Linked DNA regions of Arabidopsis thaliana. The protein of the gene in region 2 purifies or fractionates together with the protein of the main gene of each other region. This does not show direct contact. Each region holds a gene or a part of one and is shown on either strand. Other genes may lie near its edges. The genes, in order: AT4G26600, AT3G12860, NAP57 and FIB1.

Region 1 (6,384 bases), on a different chromosome or scaffold from region 2:
ATATGCAGAAATATATTTTTTGATTTCCTATTTTCAATGGTTTATTGAGATTTTGTTATTTATCCATACCATAAGTCCACAAAATTACTTACCATTTTGGTTAGCAAGAAATTAAAATGAACTCATTTGCTTTTAAAAGCTGTATCTTTTGGGTCCTGCAAAGGAATCTCTTTTCTATAATCTTGGATATCCAAATATAAAGTGAATACAGCAATTATACGATGTTATATGTGATGCATGTGAGTTTGTGTATACAAGGCTACAAGCACTAGCAGTTATAATATGGGCTTATAATCTAAAAATAGAAACAAGAAGATTAGTGTGAGAGAAGTAAATGTAAGGTCCCCAACGGAGGAGAATCTGATAAAGATGGATGAAGAAGAGTTGAATTGGATTGTCATGTTTCTCCAACACTCAAGTCCCACTTCAGAAAACCTTCACATCTCTCCCTAACAATGACCAGCTCACTCCCAATTCCCTTATTTTTTCGTCAAATCAATACTATGAGAAATTCTATCCTTATGTGGTGGTATGGACCCAACCCTCCAAGATTTATGTATTTTATTAAATAATTGCTAGGAGCAGAAAAATGAATAGCCTTTCAAACACACTTGTGAGAGAAAGTAGGGACTCGTTTTTGTTTTCAATAAATTTTACAACTCCAATTGAAAACGGAAAATAGAAACAGCCTCTCACAAAAATCAAGTTATGTGATTGATACAAAACTTTTGGACATGTAACAGCTAATCCATGTGGGTGTCACCCTTTCTTTACGCAGTAAATTAATCAAAACTAGAAAGCCATTGTATAGATACCTTGGCCTCAGCCAATGAAGCCTCTTTTCTTGTGTCCTTCGCCATGGCCAGAACACCGAAATATTCTACTCTTCAAGATGCATCACGATCTCAAACCTATTCTTATCCCCTGTGCTTTGGCGTCTCCTTAGCATTCTCTCTCATGGTTTTTCTTTTTTCTTCCCTGCAACATATTCAACCATTTATGGGTAAATGGGTGTATGATACAACAATGTACATAAGAAGGTTTTCTCTTTTGTCTGTCAAGGAAACACTTAGTTTTTTTACCTAGCTTGAGCAATCTCATTCTTCCATTGTGATCTCTTCTTCTTTTGCTTCCTGGGTTCTTCCACATTACCACTTTCGGTTTTTGTGTTTTTATTCCTTTTGCCTTTGTGAATTTCCTTTGACCTTGGATTTTTTCGTTTGTTCGTGTCTTCTTTAGTGTTACTCTCTCTCTTGGGTTGCCCACTGGCAACAGGTGGCTTCTCCAACTCCTCAATGGCCTCAGCTTTCTCATCATCATCATCACTAGACGACACCTGAGCTTGCTCCATTGTTACAGCTGGCTCATCATTTCCTGAAGGCTGCATTGCATTGCTCATCTTCTTCAGCTGCAGAACAAAGAAAGGAAAAAGTAAATACCTCGTTGGTTTAATCACTATTCATATTTTATAAAACATCTGTTTTGCAGGGAAAAGCTATTCATAGGTTAACCAAGTGTATACCTTTGCAACAAAGAATCCATCCATGTTGTGCACGTGAGGATAGAAACGTCTAGTCTTCTCTAAAGAAGGGTGGAACCGGTGTTCTCTAAAACTGCTAAATCTGAAGATATGCAGCAAAACATTTGTGTTCAGATGACGAATCATGAAATTTTTCAATGCAGATGAAAATGTATATTACCCTGGTCGGCCAAAATCAAGTCCACATGGAACGAGTTTAACATCCCTGTTTTTCAGAGCATAATCGATGACAGCTTCGTTCTGCATAATTTGTTGTACAAATAGAACTAGTGAGAAAACATGAAGATGCCAGGAAAAAAAAATAGTGGAACAGAAAAAGTATGGTTCACCAACCTCGGGTATCATAACTGAACATGTTGAGTAAACAATATATCCACCGGTTTTGGAATTGGCGTCTACCAAATCAATCGCACCAAGTATAAGTTGCTATGCGCAAGAAAAGAAGAGAGTATGGTTAGCATTATATACCAAATGCATCCTTCTTTATATACTCACAGTAAGAGGGTATAAACGGCGTTTATGCCATTTTCATGTTTAAATATTTGTCTTGGATGTAAAGAATGTTTTAGTTGATATTGTTTAAGGCAACAACATACCTTTTGCAAATGGGCAAATTTCTTTATGTCATCAGCACTTTTGGAAGTTTTAACTGATTCGTCTTTTGATATAACCTGCATTGTGTAGAAGTGACATTAAACTATGAACAGAGAAATTCACTTAAAAGACTATAAGAGTGTATGGTCCAAACTTTCTTACTCCAGTTCCACTGCAGGGAGCATCCAGCAATACTCTATCAACCGAGCTCTGACCTAAAACTTTGGTTAGCTGAAAGGCAAAGAAGATGAGATAAATAAAAAATGCAAGGGAATAATAGAGAAGCTGTCTTTAAAACTTTGTTATTTGGTGCAATTACAGTCTTGCCAGTAATTTTTCAATTTGGTTGAGCTGATGGTTTACAACCAGTTTGCAATATTTAACATCCTCAAGCATGTACCGTCAACAGAAGAATAAAGGTTCAAGAAACTAACCTCTCGTCCGTCATAGTTACAAACTATGGTATTTGTCACTCCCATGCGATGTAGATTGGCAGAAAGTGACTTAAGCCTAGGTACTTTCATCTCGTTTGCATATATTATGCCTGGTTATATAAACATTATAACATTAGATATAACTGACTAAAATTATGGGGCTGGAGGAATAAGGAACCAATATATGTATACCTGTATTTTTCATTAGTGCAGCAACATATGTTGTTTTACCACCAGGGGCAGCACTGCAGTGGTATAAGAACTTGTTACAGATATCACAATATACTAGTTGCATATGTCTCACATCACGGGACAATCAAATTGGCTTTTCCGTTTTGACAGCACTTATCATCACAACAATCATAACAAATGATACATATCACAAGCTACACTTGAATATCAGATTAAGGTACTGCTTGGTCATCATATATATATATATATATTTATCTGAGACACAAATATAGTGCATTTATGTAAGATAATGACTTACGCCATGTCCACAACTCGTTCTTTTTCTCGAGGAGCAAGGGCCATCACTGGCAAGAACGAACTAGCACTTTGCAACTGAAAATGTACCAAGAACATACTTAAGTAAACAATAAGAAAACCCATAAAGTGTGAGCCGAAAAGTACAAAAAAAATCAGAAAATCAAGTACCATATAGAATCCTGCCAAATATTCAGGAGTTGCACCAATCGGAACTTGTGAATCATAAACGATAAGTCCAACCTACAAATATTATGCCAGGATCAACTAAAGATGGTCCACAAAAATGTTTTCGCAAATAAAATGGAAGACAATCTGCAAATACTACTTACTTTTGACCACTTGCTTAATGGGTCTAGATTAACTCCTCTGTTCAAAAGTATATCAGCCAGATCCCGTCTTCGAGTCTTAACCAAAACAAACATCAGCATTAATTGAAATATCACAACAGCTGAGAAATACTTTGTTTTAGACACTCCAATGCACAACCAAGTTCACCTTAAGAGTGTTAGTACGTATAGATGTAGGTCTTTTCTTTTCAAAAGCTTCGATTAGTTCCATGAGTTCAACAACAGGAAACATCTGCCAGAAGATTACAACTAAAGAGTATAAGTAACAGAATTCCTACACATAACTCTAGATCAAAGCAAGCATAAAGAGTAAAGTCAGAGACTAGGGAATAACCTCAATTAAAGTTCCAATAAGAAACTCATTATAGCCGTAGTAAGAACTAAGATCAGCTTTAAGCTGTCCAACATAATCATTCCTCTCGTGCTTGTCTCCTTTTGGCTTCAAGTCCTTAAAATTCGACAGGATTCTAACAACTGAAACACAAATTAGTACCATTAAACTAAGAACCGAGAGGATGATTCCTTAGGAGATTTAAAACAATCATAATAATAACATTACACCAGAATTCTTAAAAAGGAATAAAATTTGAAAATGTTACTCACTCTCTCTTATCCTCATTTGCAAGCTAGGAAGATCTGGCGGCCGACGTGCCTCTTCTTCAAGTTCCTAAACAATGTAGAGTAATAGAAAAGATTAGCTAACAAATAGCTCCAGAGATCCAGAATATGAACAAATCCACAATTAAGTAAAGGAAAATGTAACCTTTTGGGTTGGTAGCTGAAACTCATCAGGTTTCTCCTTAATGTTCATCTTGAATTCATCGTCTGCATCTTGTACCTCCTTTTTACGTTTTCTATCAATAGCTCTAGATTTCCTCTCGAGTTTGGATCCACCAGAGTCAGAATCCAAATCAGAACCCATGGTTACCTCCTCATTATCGCTACCATCGAGAAAGTCTTCAGCTAAGGGTTCTGCATCCTCATCATCATCATCATCATCATCATCATCATCATCATCATCATCACTATCATTGTTTCCTTCTTCATCACCATCAGAGAACAAATCAGAACCTGATTCAGACCCTTCATCAGACTGTTCATTCTCTTCTTCTTCTTCTTCCTCGTCTGTGGAAACTTCAGGCTTTTTGAGGGGCTTCTTCTCCGAAATACATTTCCTCTGCTTCTTCAATGGAGGCTTCTGGGTTTTAGCCGCCTTCTTCAGCGGAGACGCCTTAGTCTGCTTATTCAGTGGCGGAGTCTGTGAATTGGAACCCTTCTTCTTGTTACGCGTAAGAGCAGCCATGGATACGGTTTTTACAACTTAGGGTTTATCGCCGTGAGGGTTTAGCAGAATTGCAGAGGTAGGAGAAGCAAGGTCGAAGAATCTAGTAAAGATGGAGGATGAGCAAAGTTGCTTAATGGGCTTGATTGATACTAACTAATGGGCCTGACTAATACTAACTAATGGGCTGTAGTCGAACTTATTTTTTGTCAGCCTAATAAATTATCGAGCCACTGAATTCATAAAACCTATAAAAACATAATTCAATAAGTTATTTGATGTATGCGTTTAGGGGTTTCAAAATGGGTAATCCAACTCAACTCTTAATCAAATAAGTTTAGATGTTAAATGAGTTGGGTCAACCCATAACTCATTTAATTTGATGGATTGAATTGTTAAATGGGTTAACCCATTTAAATAATAATTTAATTAATTATTATTATAAAACAATAATAAATAATTAATATTATTAATTCATTATCATCAAACTTAAAATATTTACGGATTCCACTTTTTACGGGTTTACGTTTTTGGCGGAAAAATCACAGGTTTATGTTTTTGGCGAGAAAATTATAGGTTTACGTTTTTGGCAGGAAAATTACGGGTTTATGTTTTTGGTGGGAAAATTACGGGTTTACATTTTTGACAGGAAAATCTCGGGTTTACGTTTTTGGCGGGAAAATCACGGGTTAACGTTTTTGGCGGGAAAATTACGAGTTTACGTTTTTGGCGGGAAAATTACGGATTTACGTTTTTGGCGGGAAAATTATGAGTTTACGTTTTGGCGGGAAAATAACGGATTTACGTTTTTGGCGGGAAAATCACGGGTTTACGTTTTTGGCGGGAAATTACGAGTTTACGTTTTTGGCGGGAAAATTACGGATTTGCGTTTTTGGCTGGAAAATTACGAGTTTACGTTTTTGGCGGGAAAATTATGGATTTACGTTTTTGGCGGGAAAATCACGGGTTTATCTTTTTAGTGAAAAATTACGAGTTTACTTTTTATCAATTTCATCGCTTGTATATTTAAGAAATTTGGAAAAATATTAATTTTATTAAATTGGTTTAAATGTGTTGGTTAAACTTAAATTGGCATTGGTTTAGAAATTTTAGTTGGTTTAATTCAATTTTACAAAACTTGATGGGTTAATTGGGTAAACCATTGAAATCATTAACCATTACAACCCAACTCATTTTACTCATCAAACCAATTGACTCATCAACTCATTTGACCCATTAACTCATTTGAGTCAAAATTTTCAACTCATTAGAGTTCATGGGTTGAATTGAGTTGAGTTAACCCATGAATTTTAACCCATTTTGACATCTCTACCTGCGTTACATGCTCAGCCCATGCATGATTGAAGCTAGTGATGTTGATAACAAAAACTGAAATGAATCACGTAATTTTCTAAAATCAGTTCTAAACGATTCTGTTTCTTCTTTAAGAATGAAAACACGAATTTATTTTTGGTGAATTTTAATTCCAACTACCAAAAATAATTTGATTGATTGGTTGAAATTTCTTGTAAAATTGTGTTAGAATTTGAAATATTATCATTTGCAGGATATATATGTAGTTTGGCTGTCAAAAAAAAATGTATTATGTTTTTGGTGAAGTTGCAAGTTATTTATAACACATAGAACCTAGTCATAGACGTTGACATGAAACAGATTGAATAAGACAGTGTGTGTCTT
Region 2 (5,128 bases):
CTATCTTCCTTGGGGATCATTTGGGCGGTACGGTACAAATCTGAAGTGGAATCGCATCTTGAGAAGTTGTTGGAGAGGGAGAAAGAAGATGCGAAGCTGTTGCGTAAATGTGTTGAAGAGTTGAAGAAGAAAGGTATCGAATTTGATTTGCTTAAGGAAGTGGATGCGCTTCGTAGAGCCAAGAGTTTAAGAGTTGAGTCGAAGCCTGTGAAGAAATGGTCTGCTAGGGATTTTGTGACGCTCTTCTTCTTCTCTGTTTCGTGTTTGGTTCTTGCCATGATTAGACTCATTCTCTGCGATTGATTCTTTTGCTCTTTTGTTGCTATGCTTTAGCAGAATTCTCTGGTTTCTGCAATTTTAGTGATAATAAAGAAAAACAACATGTTTGATTCATCTCCTTCAATCCTTTTTTGTAATGTTAATTTGTTTTGTCGACATTTTCAAAGAATTGAGCAAAAACATATCCATACATACTTGAAGATCCATTTCAACATCAACAAAAATTTGATCATCTTCAAAAGTTAAAAACCAGACCTGATAAATAATCAAAAGCTTGTTCTTTTGTTTAAGACAGACTCAATTGTAGAAAATCTGATAATTATATATGTTTTTAGTTGTTTTTAAGTCATAAACTCGCAAGACAGAGACTCAAGCTTGTTTTCATTTGGCTAAGACAGACTTAATTCAAAAGTAGAAAACCTTATCTAATTTGCGCTATGTTTAAAGTTGTTCTTAAAGTCAAAACCCTATGTAGAAGAAAGAAAACTAAAAACTAGTGTATTACACAGACTTGTTTGTTTATTCATCATCTTGTGACTTAGTTTTCTTCTTCTTCTTGCTATGGCCATTATCTGTTGCTGTCAATTCCTCTCCTTCTACTGCTTTGCTTTTCTTTTTCTTTTTCTTTGATTTCTCCTCTTCCTTCTCCTCCTCCTTCTCCTCTGTCTTTCTCTTCTTTTTCTTCTCCGAAGCATCCACTGTTTTTTCTCCCTCGTCTTAAAAAAAGAAGAAACAACCCATCAAACAAAACCGTTTACCACAACAGATCAGAGAGCTTTGTTGGGTCATATGTACCTTTCTTCTCAAGATTTTCCAACACTTCTTTCATTACATCAACATTCTTACGTGGGGCAACACCTTTGTCATAAAAGTCAAGTCTTTCCTCTACTTGTTCCCTTAGTTTCTCACCGAAAGCTGTAGTGCTGTTATCTGCATAACACAACCACCATGATTTTGTAGTTAATAACAACGCATCATCTCCCAAACACCTCTCTCTTATTCAGGACATTCTCTAGATTATTACCTGAGAAACAATCAATCCGGGAAGCAATGGAACACTTGTTTGCAAGGAAACGAGCAATACGGCCCTTGTTTTTAGCAGATGCACGCCCGATGAATGATGAATGGAATATTAGACCATATTTGGGTGTGTTTCCACGTGTTTTCAGTGCCCTGAAATTAACACCAAAGTTAGTTACTGCAGTGTAATTAAACTTGTAAAGACTAACAAAGCTTGAAATGCACCTGAAAAGTGCCTTCTCAGCACCGAGAATCTGGAGGGTTGAAGATGGGCACTTGGCAAGATTTGTCAGACTTCCTGCATGTGAAATCAACCTAGCCCCAACCATCTCTCCGATCAAGGCCGCCAAATTTGGAGCAATGTCACTCATTTTAGTAACAAGATAATCATAGAGCTTCTTCCTGTAATCTGCAAGGTCCATAACTCTCTGAGCAAAGGTCTGGACATTGATCAGATCAACCGGTGATAAATCCTGGCCTTCAAATAGAGAAAACAACAATGTCTTAGAACATGAGAAACAATAGATATATTGTAAAGATTCATGATTCTTATCGAACATGCTACATCAGTTTATTACCCATAGATGCTTTTCCAGCTTCAATAACCTCTCTTGCCTTATCTTCATCACCCAGGGCTTCAGTAAGCATAGGGATGTGCTCTTCAGACAACTTTGACTTGTCGACGATAATCTTTGAAACTTTGGCGTAGAGGTAGTTGTCATTAACTATCTTGACAAGCTCAGGGAAGTGCCATGAGTACCATTCTCTGCAAAAACATAATATGAGCTGCTCAGAAACCATTTTCTCTTACGGTAACAGACAAGACATAATCTGAAAGGCAAAACAATAAGAAAACAAACCTGACTCTCATAGCAAAGGAATTGATATCCTTATCAAGTGTGTCAAGCATGAAAATAGCTTGAATAACCATGTTATCCACCCGGTTAACATTGAACTTCACCTTTGCTCTGCTGTAGCTATGAGCTAGTCCAAGTTGAGCTTTTTCCAAATCACCAGGCTACATTATAAAGAAGATGATATTGAGCACGAATAGCAAAAATATGTGTAGGTATTAGGTAATCAAAAATAAAAAACACACCTTCAAGTCTTTGATGAACCTATCGAAATGCTGACGCACACCTCTAAGGAGCTCATGGACAAACTCATTGCTCTGGCAAGGAATTTTGGTAGCTTCAAAAATGCAAGAACCGATTTTAGGCTCAGACACTCCCAAACTAAACTTGGGCTTCTTGCCTTCCTTCACTTTCGGGAGATTCAGCTCCAGAAAACTTCTCAGCTCATCGCTCATGTATCCTACGATTTTTAAGGTGTAAAAACAATACAAATATTAATACTTTATTATCAAGACCTCCAGCAAAAGCTAAAACAGAACAGAATAAGCTGATTCCAACAGTAGTAAGAGCTCAATTTCTAAGAATTAAGCTCTTTCCAGCATAAACTATAATAGAAGCAAGTAATAAAGTATATGGTGCAGGAAACTAAAGAGGGAAAGAGCTGTAATTTAGTAGTGAGTTCACCTTCAGAGACGGCGTTGATTTGGTTAAGAGCATCGAGTGCAGACTGGAACGGGTGAAAAGCAGTGAGCTGGACGACCCGCCCGAACCGACTAAGGTCCGAGACGGAGCTCCGAACCGCCTCCGTGTTCTGTCCAATCTCATCGGAACCGTGTCCCTCGAACAATCCGTAGCCGGAGGGTGATTCGGAAAGAAGATAAATCTTCATTGTAGAGAGAATTCTGTAAAAACCCTAGCCGTCTTTTTCAAAATTGATTTGAAAATCGAGTATTTATGCAGTTTCCGTTTCGGAGAAGAATAAGAGAAATTAGGGTTTAAGGTTATTTCGCACGGAAGATGATGCGGCTTTGCTCTTAGATTAACTACATGGGCCTGGCCCATTAATTCTATCGGACTCAACCAAAATGACTAGCATGGGTCAATGGTCTTCATGTAAGGAAAAAAAAACAAGCTTTTGTTATACAAAGAGGGAAAAGTTTAGGTGGTCTCAGGTGAAGTACACGCGCGTGGGCTTCAGTTACTGTGGAAGGGCCCGTACCAGATCATATCAGTTAGTAATATAAACAAACTAATTGATCCGTTACAGAGTTGAGAGTCGTCTTCTTTCTTGTTGATCATCTTCTTCTTCTTTCTCCTGTAAAATTAATCTGTAACAGAGAGAAAGAGAGATACAAGAGAGATAGAAGGTCCTGTAGTCACATCATCGAAGGGATTGCTGAAGACCGTACGTGTGAGTTCTTAAGATTCTTTCGCTCAAGAATCTGCAACAGAACAAGACGATTAGCTCAACTAGTGAATCAATTATACTCGTACAGATTCAATTTGCGAAATCTCTCGATTAGAAAGAGGAACTGAGGTCAGTTTAACTCTTCTTTATTCCCAAATCGTGCAAAGTTGCGGTAAATGTAATGTTTCGATTGAAGCTTTTGACTTTGATGCATGGGTTTATTTGTTATGTAAAATCATATTGCAGTAGAAACTTAGCTTCATCTTTTATGCTAGTAAATGAGATCTATCTCTCAGAACTGTTAATTTGTGTTGTTGGGACACTTCTCTAACTTTCTTTGTGTTTCTTGAATAGGAAGCAATCGTCGTTTAAATTTATTAATCGTCATAGATTCAATTTGGAGAAATTCTATCGCTTAGCAAGATAAACAGGTAACTTCAACTATTTTTCTTTCCAAATCGTGCAAAGTTTCTTTGATTGAATCTTTTGATTTTGGTGAATGATTTTGTTTTTGTGACATAATTCGTTTTTGTAGCAGACTTACTTAATTTTTCATGCAATTAAATGAGATTTCTCTCTCGGAACAGTTAATCTGTGTTACTTTCTTTAATGTTTCTTGCATGTGAAGTAATCTCCGTTTAGAGTTAATCTTGTCAGTTTTAATTTGGAGAATCCATCGACTAGCTAGATTAACAGAGCATTGAGTTTGGTAGAAAAATATTGTTTATGACACACACAAATTTGTTTTCGCAGCAGAAACTTAGCTTAGTTAATTTGTTAATCAGATTTAACTTCATTTATCTTTCTTAAGTGTTTCTTGCAGACTAAGTATTGAAAAAACTATTGGTTAACAAGATGGATATTGAGGTAATTTTAAATAGTTTTTTTTTTTTCAGTTTAGTTCGTGCAATGTTGCGTTTTACTGTAAAATCTATTGGGTTATTGTTGTCAACAAAAAAGAAGAAGAACATATTGTTATCGTTAAGTTGAAAATCTTGTTTAATGACCTTTACTTAGGGTGATGATCAATTGGACTTGGATGTGGAAGCTTATTCACGAAACTACGAAGGACGAAACCTAGTGCTGAGGCTACTTCATATCGCAGAGAATTCTGTTGGCCCGATGTTCACTGACGATTTGGAACTTGAAGCCCTTCGACTTGCCTATGATCTTATCCGGAATGACGGAATTGTCTGTGACATGCGTTTGTTCACAGTTATAGCTGAAAAAATACAAGGCAGATTAGGAGAAGGTTATCTCTTGGATGAAAAATGGCGTCTTACTAAGAACAACAATTTCGTCAAACAAGACAGCATTCTAAGAAACGACTTAGAAAGTGCTACGGTAAGGAAAAGTGACTATAAAACTTTGCTTGCGCAACAAGATTCCATATTGTACATCTAATCTTCTATTCTTTTGCAGGACGAACTCGAAAAAGACCGTCTTGCACTTCGTCAGTATTGGCTCCATTACCACTGTGGCCAAATGGCGATCGTTTTCCGACCATATCCCCGGCAGGTCCAAACTATCGATGCTTACATGGCTACACTATTGGTGGCCCTCGAGA
Region 3 (4,472 bases), about 17 Mb from region 2:
CTGCTTCGTTGCTTATATCCATTGTCTCCGACTCGAAGACGAGAACCTAATCACTGGTTTTTACGACGGACACAAAGAATCGAACCCAGATGCCAATTTTGTCTGTAAGACCAGAATCAGATGAATCAAAAAATCGATTTTTTCAAACCCATTAGAGAAGAGAAGGAGATATCGCTAACCCACCGAGGAATGAAATTGAGAAAGATGAGACAGCAAGTGATGGGAGGCATAGGGATCTGCAAGATAACATAGAAAAAGAAAAGATTCCGATGTATAATAGAGGACTTCAAGATTTCGTTTTTAGCGAAGAACAGAGGAAATTCATTTAAATGAAACCTGAGATTCATTTTTGCTATGAGACAAAATTGGCGATCTAAGTAAGACCCAAGCTAATCTTTGGACTTTCTAATTTTGGGAACATAAACTCGCGAACACGACAAATTGCAAAAGAATAAAAAATTGTCTTTTTGCACAAATAGTCTCTGTTTTTTGAAACTCGACGAATATAAAACCGTTGAATTCAAACATCTCTGGTTCGTATTAAATAAGTTCGGTATTATCCGAGATAATCATCTCTAGACCCAGCGACAGACAACAAAGGACTGAGTTCTCGTAATCAGGCCCATTTTTTGGTCAGGGCTAAGGCCCGTTTGTTGAAAGTTAAAAACCCGTAACTTTTAATACTGATTTAGGTCTATTATTATCCTCGTTGCCAAACAGACAAACAGACAGACAAGAAGGGCAAAGACCAAAAACAGAGAGAGAGACCACAGTCATATAACTAAAGGGAGAATCTGCTTAGAACTGAAACTAACCTTACAAAAACATAAAATCTGGTAACGTAAGCGAGACGTAGAATACAAGCATAAAATGCCTTTTGTCTCACTTTGTTCCAGAGTAGATAGATACCGCAAAATCAAAAGAGTTCAAAACTTAAAAAGCACCATAACGCAAACCCATCTCATTCCTCATCATCCTCACTGTCTTTGTTCTTCTTCTTCTTATCCTTCTTTTTCTTTTTCTTCTCACTCTTCTCTGCTGCTGATTCATCTTCTGCGTCAACAGCAGCTTCGGTGTCTTTGCTCTTCTTTTTCTTCTTCTTCTCAGACTTTGGTGAAGCTACCTCTTCTATAACCTCCTCCTTCTTATCTTTCTTCTTCTTCTTTTCCTTCTTCTCAGACCCGGCTTCCTCTTCTTTCTCCTCTTCCTTATCCTTCTTCTTCTTCTTCTTAGAAGACTTCACCTTCTCTTCAGCCTCTTCTCCTTCAACTTCTTTGGTTTTAGATTTCTTGGTTGTTACAGGAGCAGGGCTATCACTGCTATCATCATGCTTACGCTTACGCGCTTCCCCTGCTTCTCCATTCTCAGCGTCAGCCTTTATCTCCTCAGGAGCAGCAGCAGCACCAGCAATTATAGCATCTCCACCGGTAGGCAAAACCACATTCCTGCTCCACTCAACCGGAGTCTTCTCATTAGGCTTCCCATGCTTATCCAATTTCCCATCAGCAATAAGCTTCTTCTTCATAGAAGCCCTTGGTCCCAATCCCCACTTCCTCGGGTAGGTATCTCTATCCATCACCACACGCTTGATCTTAGCTACCACACCATGATCACAAGTAGCCATCACAGATGTTGTCATCTCAGCAATCCCAACGGCAATCGCCTCACCCTTGGTAGTCATAAGAACGACTTCAGTACCAACATCAATGTCATTCTCGAATCTCAACAACCCAGGAATCATCAACTTAGCACCATAACAGATAGCATTCACAGCAGAATCCTTGACAACAAGTCTCTTGTAACTCGTCAATATCATCTCAAGAGGCATAATCACCCTCCTAAGATAAGACTCATCTCTGGAGTTGTCATACACAAATTGGGCATCCATCACATCATGCATAGTAACCATGTTATTATTCTCACCCAAAATCCCAGACCTAACCCTCCTAAGCTCCTGCATATGCCCACCAACCCCAAGAAGTAAACCCAAGTGAACACACATAGTCCTAATGTAAGTACCCGCCTCACAAGAAACCCAGAAAACAACCAAATGCCTATCAGCATCATACTCAAGCAGCTTGCTTTCATAGATTGTCCTAATCCTAAGCTGTCTTTTAACAGCAGAGATCAAAGGAGGCCTCTGAAACACAGCTCCAGTGAGCGATTCAAGAGCTCTAGCTACTTTAGCAACATCAGGGACAGCTGAGTGAAGCCGAGCAACACAAACGTACTCTTTACCCGCACCTTGCTGCGATTTCACAAGCCGTGTGGCTCGGTCAATACAGACAATGAGGTTTCCAGTGACTTTTGGGTCAAGAGTACCACTGTGACCGGTTTTCTCAACACGGAGGATACGCTTAATCCAAGCAACGACCTCGTGAGAAGAAGGGTTCGCGGGTTTATCGAGATTGATGACACCGTACCTGATATACTCTTGAAGAGGACGTTTCAGAGGAGAGTGACCGGCGCTGATTGGAGTGTAGTGACCGGTACGGACGTTGAGGCGGTCGTAGTTCTTGAGGAGGATGGGCCACTGAGAAGTGTCGATGGCTGGAGTGAAACTCTGTGGCTTGATCATGTAGTCTCCGGTGTCGGCGGCATCGTTCTCCGTTTTGTCTTGCTTCTTCTTCTTCGAGTGTGAGATGTCGACCTCCGCCATGGCTCCGGTCGGATTAGGGTTTTGAAAAATGGAGGAGGAGGCGTTAAAAGTTGTAGCGGAAAAAGAGGAGACGACTGATTGGTAATTTATAAAGGACTAGGGTTTTTTAGGGTTTTAGGCGACAGTGATGACACTGGAAGCTTGAAGGTAATCCCTTATTGGGCTTGAGTTGGGTTTCTTTGATTTTAATTGGGCTTTTATACAAGTTCAATTCGTTTAGTGCCCAAATAAACGAGGTCCATATACCCGATAAAACCTTTAATTGGACTTTCATACAAGTTCAATTCGTTTGAATATTATCATTCGTGAAGTGAATACCAGTTTAAAGACCTTTCATAGTTCAAACTTCAAAGTAAATATAACCCTTTTTGTGTAGATAATTAAGGTTCTCTTTTGTTGTGCCCAAAATGTAGAAAAAAGCTCTTTTGATACGAGACAATTGAATGTTATGTTAATAAAACTGCTTATATAATTAGAAGTATTGATTGGTCATATAAACCTAATGAAGCATGAATAACGCCTCGTGATAATTATTATATTAAGAGTCGAACGTCTGTCTTTTTCAGTAACAAGAAGACAATCCTTATATTACTAAAACCAAGTCTTGACCACAGAAAATCATAAATATGGATGAATATAGTTAAGTGTATACTACTCTCTTTTTCCGCATATATAAATACCATAAGATTTATGTGGCCATTCAAAGACATGAAAAATTATCACGATTTTAAAATGTTTCGAGTGAAGTGTTTCGATTTGATTCTAAAATTCTTGAACAAATCAACCACCGCCCTAGAATATAGTGAAATAATTCTTCGAATATCCTTATTTACGCTAACTGATTCGCATAATGAACAAAAATAACCCCAAGTTTTTTCAAGAATATAGGTCCCATTGTTTCAGACTTTTACATTTTACACCTTAAGTTTCTGCATTTAGGTAAAGTCAGCTCTCTGGCTCTCTCTCTTGTCTCGCCAATAAATAGTCGCTTAACAAACAAACAATTTTTCTTTAAACCTAAAACTCACCAAAGAGAAAACACTGGGCTGAAGTAGGAAATGGCCGGCCTTCAATATAGTTTCTTCCCGACCGACTTCTTCTACCCACGAGCTTCTCCTCCGGCTACGACAAGCCTTGTCGCCACCAATCCAAAACTGGAGAAAACCCAAAAGAGAGATGGTTTAGTAGTGATTGATGAAACTCGTGCTTCTCTGTCTCTGTTTATACGTGAAAAGAAGACTAATCAGTCACAAACATGGAAGAAGCAGCCACTTTGGATCGAAGATGACATGTGATACATCTGGTTTTTGTCATAGCTTCATCAATTCTCATGTCTTTTCTTTCGTTAACTCAATAAGGTCATTTATCTATCAAGTTTCAAGGGTATATCAGGATTGGCTGTTATTTAAGGCTGACCTTAACCCAAAAAACAGAGTGTTTTCTAGATTTTAAAAAACCTCTAATGTGCCTCGTGTGGATCTTTGAATTCTTGTAATTCCAGCGTAATTTCAACGCAAATATCACTGTCCTAGCTCTTTACAATTTGTTCTTATTTCTTTCTATCGTTGCCTTATATAAAAGCAAGTTCTTTAAGTTGGCTATGAAGGTGTTATCAGTTTTACAAATTGTTGAATTTTGGTATCAAAATGATCATACTAAATAAATAGGGTGCAATCATTAGATGAAGCTAGGAAGAAAAAGCAGAGGGTAAAAGCCAATAATGTGCAACATGAATTGGGTCACCCAACCATTTACATTCCCATTTGGCAAAATCCAAATAATCTAATAGTAACTAAGATAAAATGCTTAGAAG
Region 4 (4,910 bases), on a different chromosome or scaffold from region 2:
AAACTTGCAGGGCTGTCTTGTCCAAATCTGAAGACATTGATGCTAAACCGCCTCTTTTACTTAAGTTCGGATGATGATGATCATGATGCCATAGCAATTGCAGAAAGCATGCCTAAACTACGCCATCTCCAGCTTTGTGGGAACAAACTAACCAAAACAGGCTTAAACGCCATTCTTGACGGTTGTCCTCACCTGGAACACCTCGATTTACGCCAATGTATCAACCTTGTCGGGAATCTAGAGAAGCGTTGTTTTGAGAAAATTAAAGATTTGAGACGCCACAATGATTCTACCTCTGCTGATTACCCGTTTTCTTTTGAAACTTACTATTTTCATTGGTCACGCCAATTGGCAATACTTAAAAATGCGCTACCGATGGAAGAAGGCGCCTATAACTTTGATCCAATAGTGGAAGAAGCCGAATATTACTTGAAACTGTATTGAGACTTATGTCAATAACACTTAGTCGGTTTGTTTGTGTTTAAAATTTTATTAACCAAAAAAAAATGAGTTCCTTTCAGAGCTAAGTGATACTTTTACGCCTTTTCTTGAGCATAATCATGTTCAAAACAAACTACTTCAACAATCAATTCAGCATGCAGAAACAAGTAGGATTAAAATGGACAGTAGTTCTTATAGCCAAGCAAAAACAAGCATAGAAAAGACTGATGGAGATACAATCATTGGACGAAAATGTTGCATCAATATATATTAGTTCTAAAACGAGGATAAAATTTTCCAAATGAGACATAAAAGCATTATCCATCTCTAGCTTAATACAACAAGCAAGGAGATAAAAACAAAACCCAGTAAATAAGTCTTAATACACAGGCACTACTGTCCACAGTTCCTCTATGAGGCTGGGGTCTTTTGTTTCTTCGGCATGCGGTAACCACCAACAACACAGGCATGGTCACGCTCAAACGGCTCGAGAGTCACCTGTTCTGCTGGCTTAAACTGCTCTTGTTGCAGCTTCTTCACCTCGCTCTGGAAGACTGCTTCTGCTGCAACTGTAGAGTCGATACAGTTGGCCTGAACAGATGAGACATGTTTATTTAGCGACGGAAATACAAATTGAATAATAACAGAGGAGAACATTGTTGAATTTGATTAAGGATAAGAGCACTGACCTTGATTGAGATAACAAAGTGTCCACCAGTTTTGAGGAAAAATGAGGCATTCAGGGCCAAGATTCTTGCCTTCAAGAGTTAGGCAAATAGATGGATTCAATTAAATAAAACATAAACAGAGAACCAAAATGAGAATAAAGAGAGACATTAACATAAACATAGAAACATTTATGGAATCATTGCAGATTTCTTGGAGCAATCTCTGCTAGCTCAGCAATATTGCTACAACAATTGAGTCTCCAAGTTTAGTAATAAAGTAAAACTTCTAAATGACTTGAAAATGCAATTGTTGAAAACCAGAAGAAACCGAAAAGACTTCTTCCAAATCGATAAGATATACCAAATGAAGACAAATAAAAACTTTGAGATTAAAACAGATTTGCATGTTCAAAGTAAAAAATTTTAGTAAAAAGATACAAAGTAGCATCAGAAGCTTGGAGTTTGCAACACCCATAAATGTTCTGAAGGGGAATCCAAGTAAAATCATCATCTGCCGATTTCATTGTACTGATTTTTTTAAAAGCAAAAGATGCAATGCAATAAAAAAAAACTTTGAAGATATAACTGTAAAATAAAAAGGCTTCAAACATTTCATAGTAAATGAAATGTCATCATATGCCGATTTCAATGAACTGATATTTTAAAAGCAAAAGATGCAATGCAATATGACGTAACCTTTGTGAATAAAACTGTAGAAAGGGTAACTTCAAACTTTCATAGTAAGAAATATAGAACCAAACCTGATCTGGCTGAGCAACATCAGAGAATATGACATCAACCATGCCCACGAGCATTCTGTACTTAGCCGGATGTCTAGCATCTTCAATGATTGGAATAACGTTAGTTCTCTTCTTGGCCATGTTCACCAAATCTCTACCACTTCTATGAGAAAACTCAACAGCATAAACACATCCCTCCTACAAATCATAAAGCAATAGAACAAAGATAAGTCTCAAACATAGGATAGAAATGGACCTACGGATAACTAAAATAATAATTTAGTGAAAGACTTACAGGGCCAACGAGGTCAGAAACATGAGAGACAGTGGTCCCAGAAGCAGCACCCAAGTAAAGAACTTTGGCACCAGGTTTCTACAAAAGTTTTAACAAAGAACCAATTCAAGCACATGTCTTTCAATACAAAAAAAGAAAACAGAGTCAATGTGGTATGTGTATAGATGGACTTACGATCCAAATGTTGTCGACACCACCAAGAATTGCAGCAGCTAACTTAGATCTAAACGGATTCCAAACTCTGTATTCAACCTTAGTTCCATCTTCATTCTGCAAAAGTGAAGTAGCTATAATATAAGAACAAAAACAAACTCAATTTAATTATAAAGAAAACAATCCTCAAACTTCATACCTGAACAGAGATTCTCTTCTCATTGTAAACAGCTTCACCAGGAACCAAATTCTTAGTGACAAGAGCATCTTCTTTACCCTTAGCAATAAACACTCCCGCATGTCTGTGAGGCTCAACAATCACTTTGCTTCCTCCTTTCATTCCTCCACGAGGTGGTCCTCCACGACCACGAGGCGCACCACGTCCTCTGCCGCGAGGCCCACTACGGCCTCTGTCACCACTACGGCCTCCTCCAAAGCTTCTTCCACCTCCAAAACCTCTTCCACCACCATCTCTTCCACCTCTGAATCCTCCACCACCACGTCCTCCTGATTATAACAATACCAACATACAGAAAATTAACTAAACGGAAGAACAGAGTGTTATTAAAAATCTCTACTTTTATCTTTGAACTTTATTGAAACAGTGAAGATACAAAAGGCTCATGAATTAAAACCCTAACTACCAATTCAAACTACAGAAACCGTAATGATACGAATTCAGATTTGATACGGACAGGGTTATACTCTAGAGGCAGACAGAACAAGAAAGACATAAACTTTAACTAAGGTTCTTACCTGTAACTGGGGGTCTCATATTTGCTTGTCTAAAAGTGAAGAACGAAAGACGAGAACCGAAAAAAAACGAGGGCAAAGGAGAGAGATGTGCGGTGGTGGCTGATTTTAGAGTCTCTGTGAGTTGGTTTATATATTAAGATTTTAGGGCTTTTAGGGTTTATGCTTTGGTAACATTTCTTGTATTTTATAAATAGGCCCTTCTATTATATATATCTTAACTACATTAGTCTACTACATTGGTAACGATGGGTCCAAACTCCAAAGTATGGAGTTGGGTTTGATCCGGATTGGGTCAAGATAATAATGGGCCGATTTTATTGGCCCAAAGTGGGTTTGTTTATGTCTCACGGAAAAGATAAGTTAGGGTTTTATTTTTGTGAGACAAGAAGAGTTAGTTATTCACTTATTCTCAATTTCTCATAGAGAAATTACGAATATATCTAAGGTTCTCGATCATCTAAAGTTTTTAGGGTTCGACTTGCTCCTCCTCGTCTCTGCTTACCTATATTTGAAATCTTTATCACAAACTCAGCTAGCTATTACATCACTAATGGCCGAACGTTGTCAAAGAATTGATGAAGAGGTTGTTGCTTCTAGAGACGAGATCAGTTCGTTGCCCGACGATTTGCTTATCCAGATTTTGTTGCTTGTACCGATCAAAGATGCAGTTGGGACAATGATATTGTCAAAACGATGGCGTTATGTCTGGACGTTGTTGCCTAAACTCGAGTACAGTGATCCTGGTGATGAATGCGAAAGCGTGTGGAAGTTTCTTGAAAAGTTATTGGAACTTCACAAGGCACCTTTTCTAGAAACTTTGTGCATCCAACTCGGTAAAAATTTTCTATTGAGGTAGATGTTGGGAAATTAGTTGCAAATGCAGTTGATCGCTTTGTGCGCAAGCTAGAGTTAGAGCTCCACTGGACGGCAGAGCCTACCAGCTTGCCTAAGAGTCTTTACACATGCAAAACACTTGTGGAATTGACTCTTTCGGACAAGATTATAGTGGATGTTCCTTCTTCGGTTTGCCTCCCGTCACTCAACATATTACGCCTTTTTTATGTGGTGTTCAAAGATGAAAATTCTCTAGAGAGGCTTATATCAAGTTGCTCAGTTCTTGCCCGATCGAAAGTGGGCCTCGCCATCAGTGATAACCGGGACTACCGTTTCGCGAAGGTGCATAAGCTTCGCCTTGAAAAGCCACATATCGACGTTGTATGTCATACTGATGACAAGTTTCTCAAAGCTATTTCCTTGGTCACGTATCTTGTGTTACCTTTGGAAGATCCAATGGTATCTATCCTTTTTATTATTATTGTTTTTTTTCTTCTTGGCTGTTAGGTTTGATCACATTGATTTATATTGGCTTTTGATTTAGTCATTGAAGGCTCTGGATTTTCGTGGCTTTACCTTCACTCGACTTGGAAAATTAGTGATATGTCCACATGGCCATCTCTGGTTGGATATAATTCCACTAATTCTCAACAACTCTCCTAAACTAAGATTTCTTGCTATCACTTCTGTAAGTAACAAGTAACAACGCAATCTCCTTGTTGTATAAACTGATTCTTTGATTCCACCTCATAGATTTTTATGTACTTGCATCCAGGTAAGTGGATATCGACCCGGAAATCTCCCATTGTCATGGTACCAACCAAGGTACTGTTCCCAGATGCTTGTCGGCTCATTTAGATGAGGAGTTTGTGTGGCATGGATATAGAGGAAACGAAGAAGAGACACAGCTCATAAGATACATTTTTGCTAATGCAAAGTGTTTAAAGAAAGTGACAGTCACATCTATATGGGAACATTTTCAATCTTCAATCTTGAAGAGAGAGATATCAACCTTCCATCTTG

The links.
Region 1: the proteins of AT3G12860 (region 2) and AT4G26600 fractionate together in Arabidopsis thaliana (co-fractionation; one large-scale study listed by BioGRID). This does not show direct contact.
Region 3: the proteins of AT3G12860 (region 2) and NAP57 fractionate together in Arabidopsis thaliana (co-fractionation; one large-scale study listed by BioGRID). This does not show direct contact.
Region 4: the proteins of AT3G12860 (region 2) and FIB1 fractionate together in Arabidopsis thaliana (co-fractionation; one large-scale study listed by BioGRID). This does not show direct contact.

The regions. Positions count from the first base shown.
Region 1 is NC_003075.7:13,417,952-13,424,335, reverse strand, and holds AT4G26600 (S-adenosyl-L-methionine-dependent methyltransferases superfamily protein), read right to left. Parts: upstream 4,776-6,384; 5' UTR 4,708-4,775; coding exon 4,168-4,707; intron 4,072-4,167; coding exon 4,008-4,071; intron 3,879-4,007; coding exon 3,739-3,878; intron 3,637-3,738; coding exon 3,553-3,636; intron 3,462-3,552; coding exon 3,387-3,461; intron 3,298-3,386; coding exon 3,226-3,297; intron 3,133-3,225; coding exon 3,059-3,132; intron 2,814-3,058; coding exon 2,761-2,813; intron 2,679-2,760; coding exon 2,569-2,678; intron 2,366-2,568; coding exon 2,297-2,365; intron 2,212-2,296; coding exon 2,137-2,211; intron 1,967-2,136; coding exon 1,701-1,966; coding exon of another isoform or gene 1,697-1,700; exon of another isoform or gene 1,623-1,696; coding exon 1,523-1,622; coding exon of another isoform or gene 1,496-1,522; exon of another isoform or gene 1,409-1,495; coding exon 1,083-1,408; coding exon of another isoform or gene 1,079-1,082; exon of another isoform or gene 979-1,078; coding exon 918-978; 3' UTR 545-917; downstream 1-544. UniProt on the Arabidopsis thaliana protein: Involved in ribosomal large subunit assembly. S-adenosyl-L-methionine-dependent methyltransferase that probably methylates the C(5) position of cytosine 1586 (m5C1586) in mitochondrial 26S rRNA.
Region 2 is NC_003074.8:4,089,592-4,094,719, reverse strand, and holds AT3G12860 (NOP56-like pre RNA processing ribonucleoprotein), read right to left. Parts: upstream 3,154-5,128; 5' UTR 3,043-3,153; coding exon 2,838-3,042; intron 2,614-2,837; coding exon 2,399-2,613; intron 2,318-2,398; coding exon 2,160-2,317; intron 2,066-2,159; coding exon 1,878-2,065; intron 1,778-1,877; coding exon 1,525-1,777; intron 1,453-1,524; coding exon 1,304-1,452; intron 1,210-1,303; coding exon 1,075-1,209; intron 996-1,074; coding exon 799-995; 3' UTR 525-798; downstream 1-524. Other genes in the region: AT3G12870 (uncharacterized protein), read left to right, coding at 1-303; AT3G12850 (COP9 signalosome complex-related / CSN complex-like protein), read left to right, coding at 4,417-4,428, 4,579-4,905, 4,984-5,128.
Region 3 is NC_003074.8:21,153,294-21,157,765, forward strand, and holds NAP57 (homologue of NAP57), read right to left. Parts: upstream 2,783-4,472; 5' UTR 2,660-2,782; coding exon 962-2,659; 3' UTR 522-961; downstream 1-521. Other genes in the region: SDP1-LIKE (sugar-dependent 1-like protein), read right to left, coding at 1-22. UniProt on the Arabidopsis thaliana protein: Plays a central role in ribosomal RNA processing. Probable catalytic subunit of H/ACA small nucleolar ribonucleoprotein (H/ACA snoRNP) complex, which catalyzes pseudouridylation of rRNA.
Region 4 is NC_003076.8:21,292,452-21,297,361, reverse strand, and holds FIB1 (fibrillarin 1), read right to left. Parts: upstream 3,216-4,910; 5' UTR 3,073-3,215; coding exon 3,054-3,072; intron 2,805-3,053; coding exon 2,497-2,804; intron 2,415-2,496; coding exon 2,319-2,414; intron 2,223-2,318; coding exon 2,145-2,222; intron 2,048-2,144; coding exon 1,871-2,047; intron 1,627-1,870; exon of another isoform or gene 1,553-1,626; intron 1,200-1,552; coding exon 1,131-1,199; intron 1,033-1,130; coding exon 853-1,032; 3' UTR 543-852; downstream 1-542. Other genes in the region: AT5G52480 (RNI-like superfamily protein), read left to right, coding at 1-444; EDA41 (FBD, F-box and Leucine Rich Repeat domains containing protein), read left to right, coding at 3,604-3,813, 3,906-4,346, 4,441-4,579, 4,668-4,910. UniProt on the Arabidopsis thaliana protein: S-adenosyl-L-methionine-dependent methyltransferase that has the ability to methylate both RNAs and proteins. Involved in pre-rRNA processing.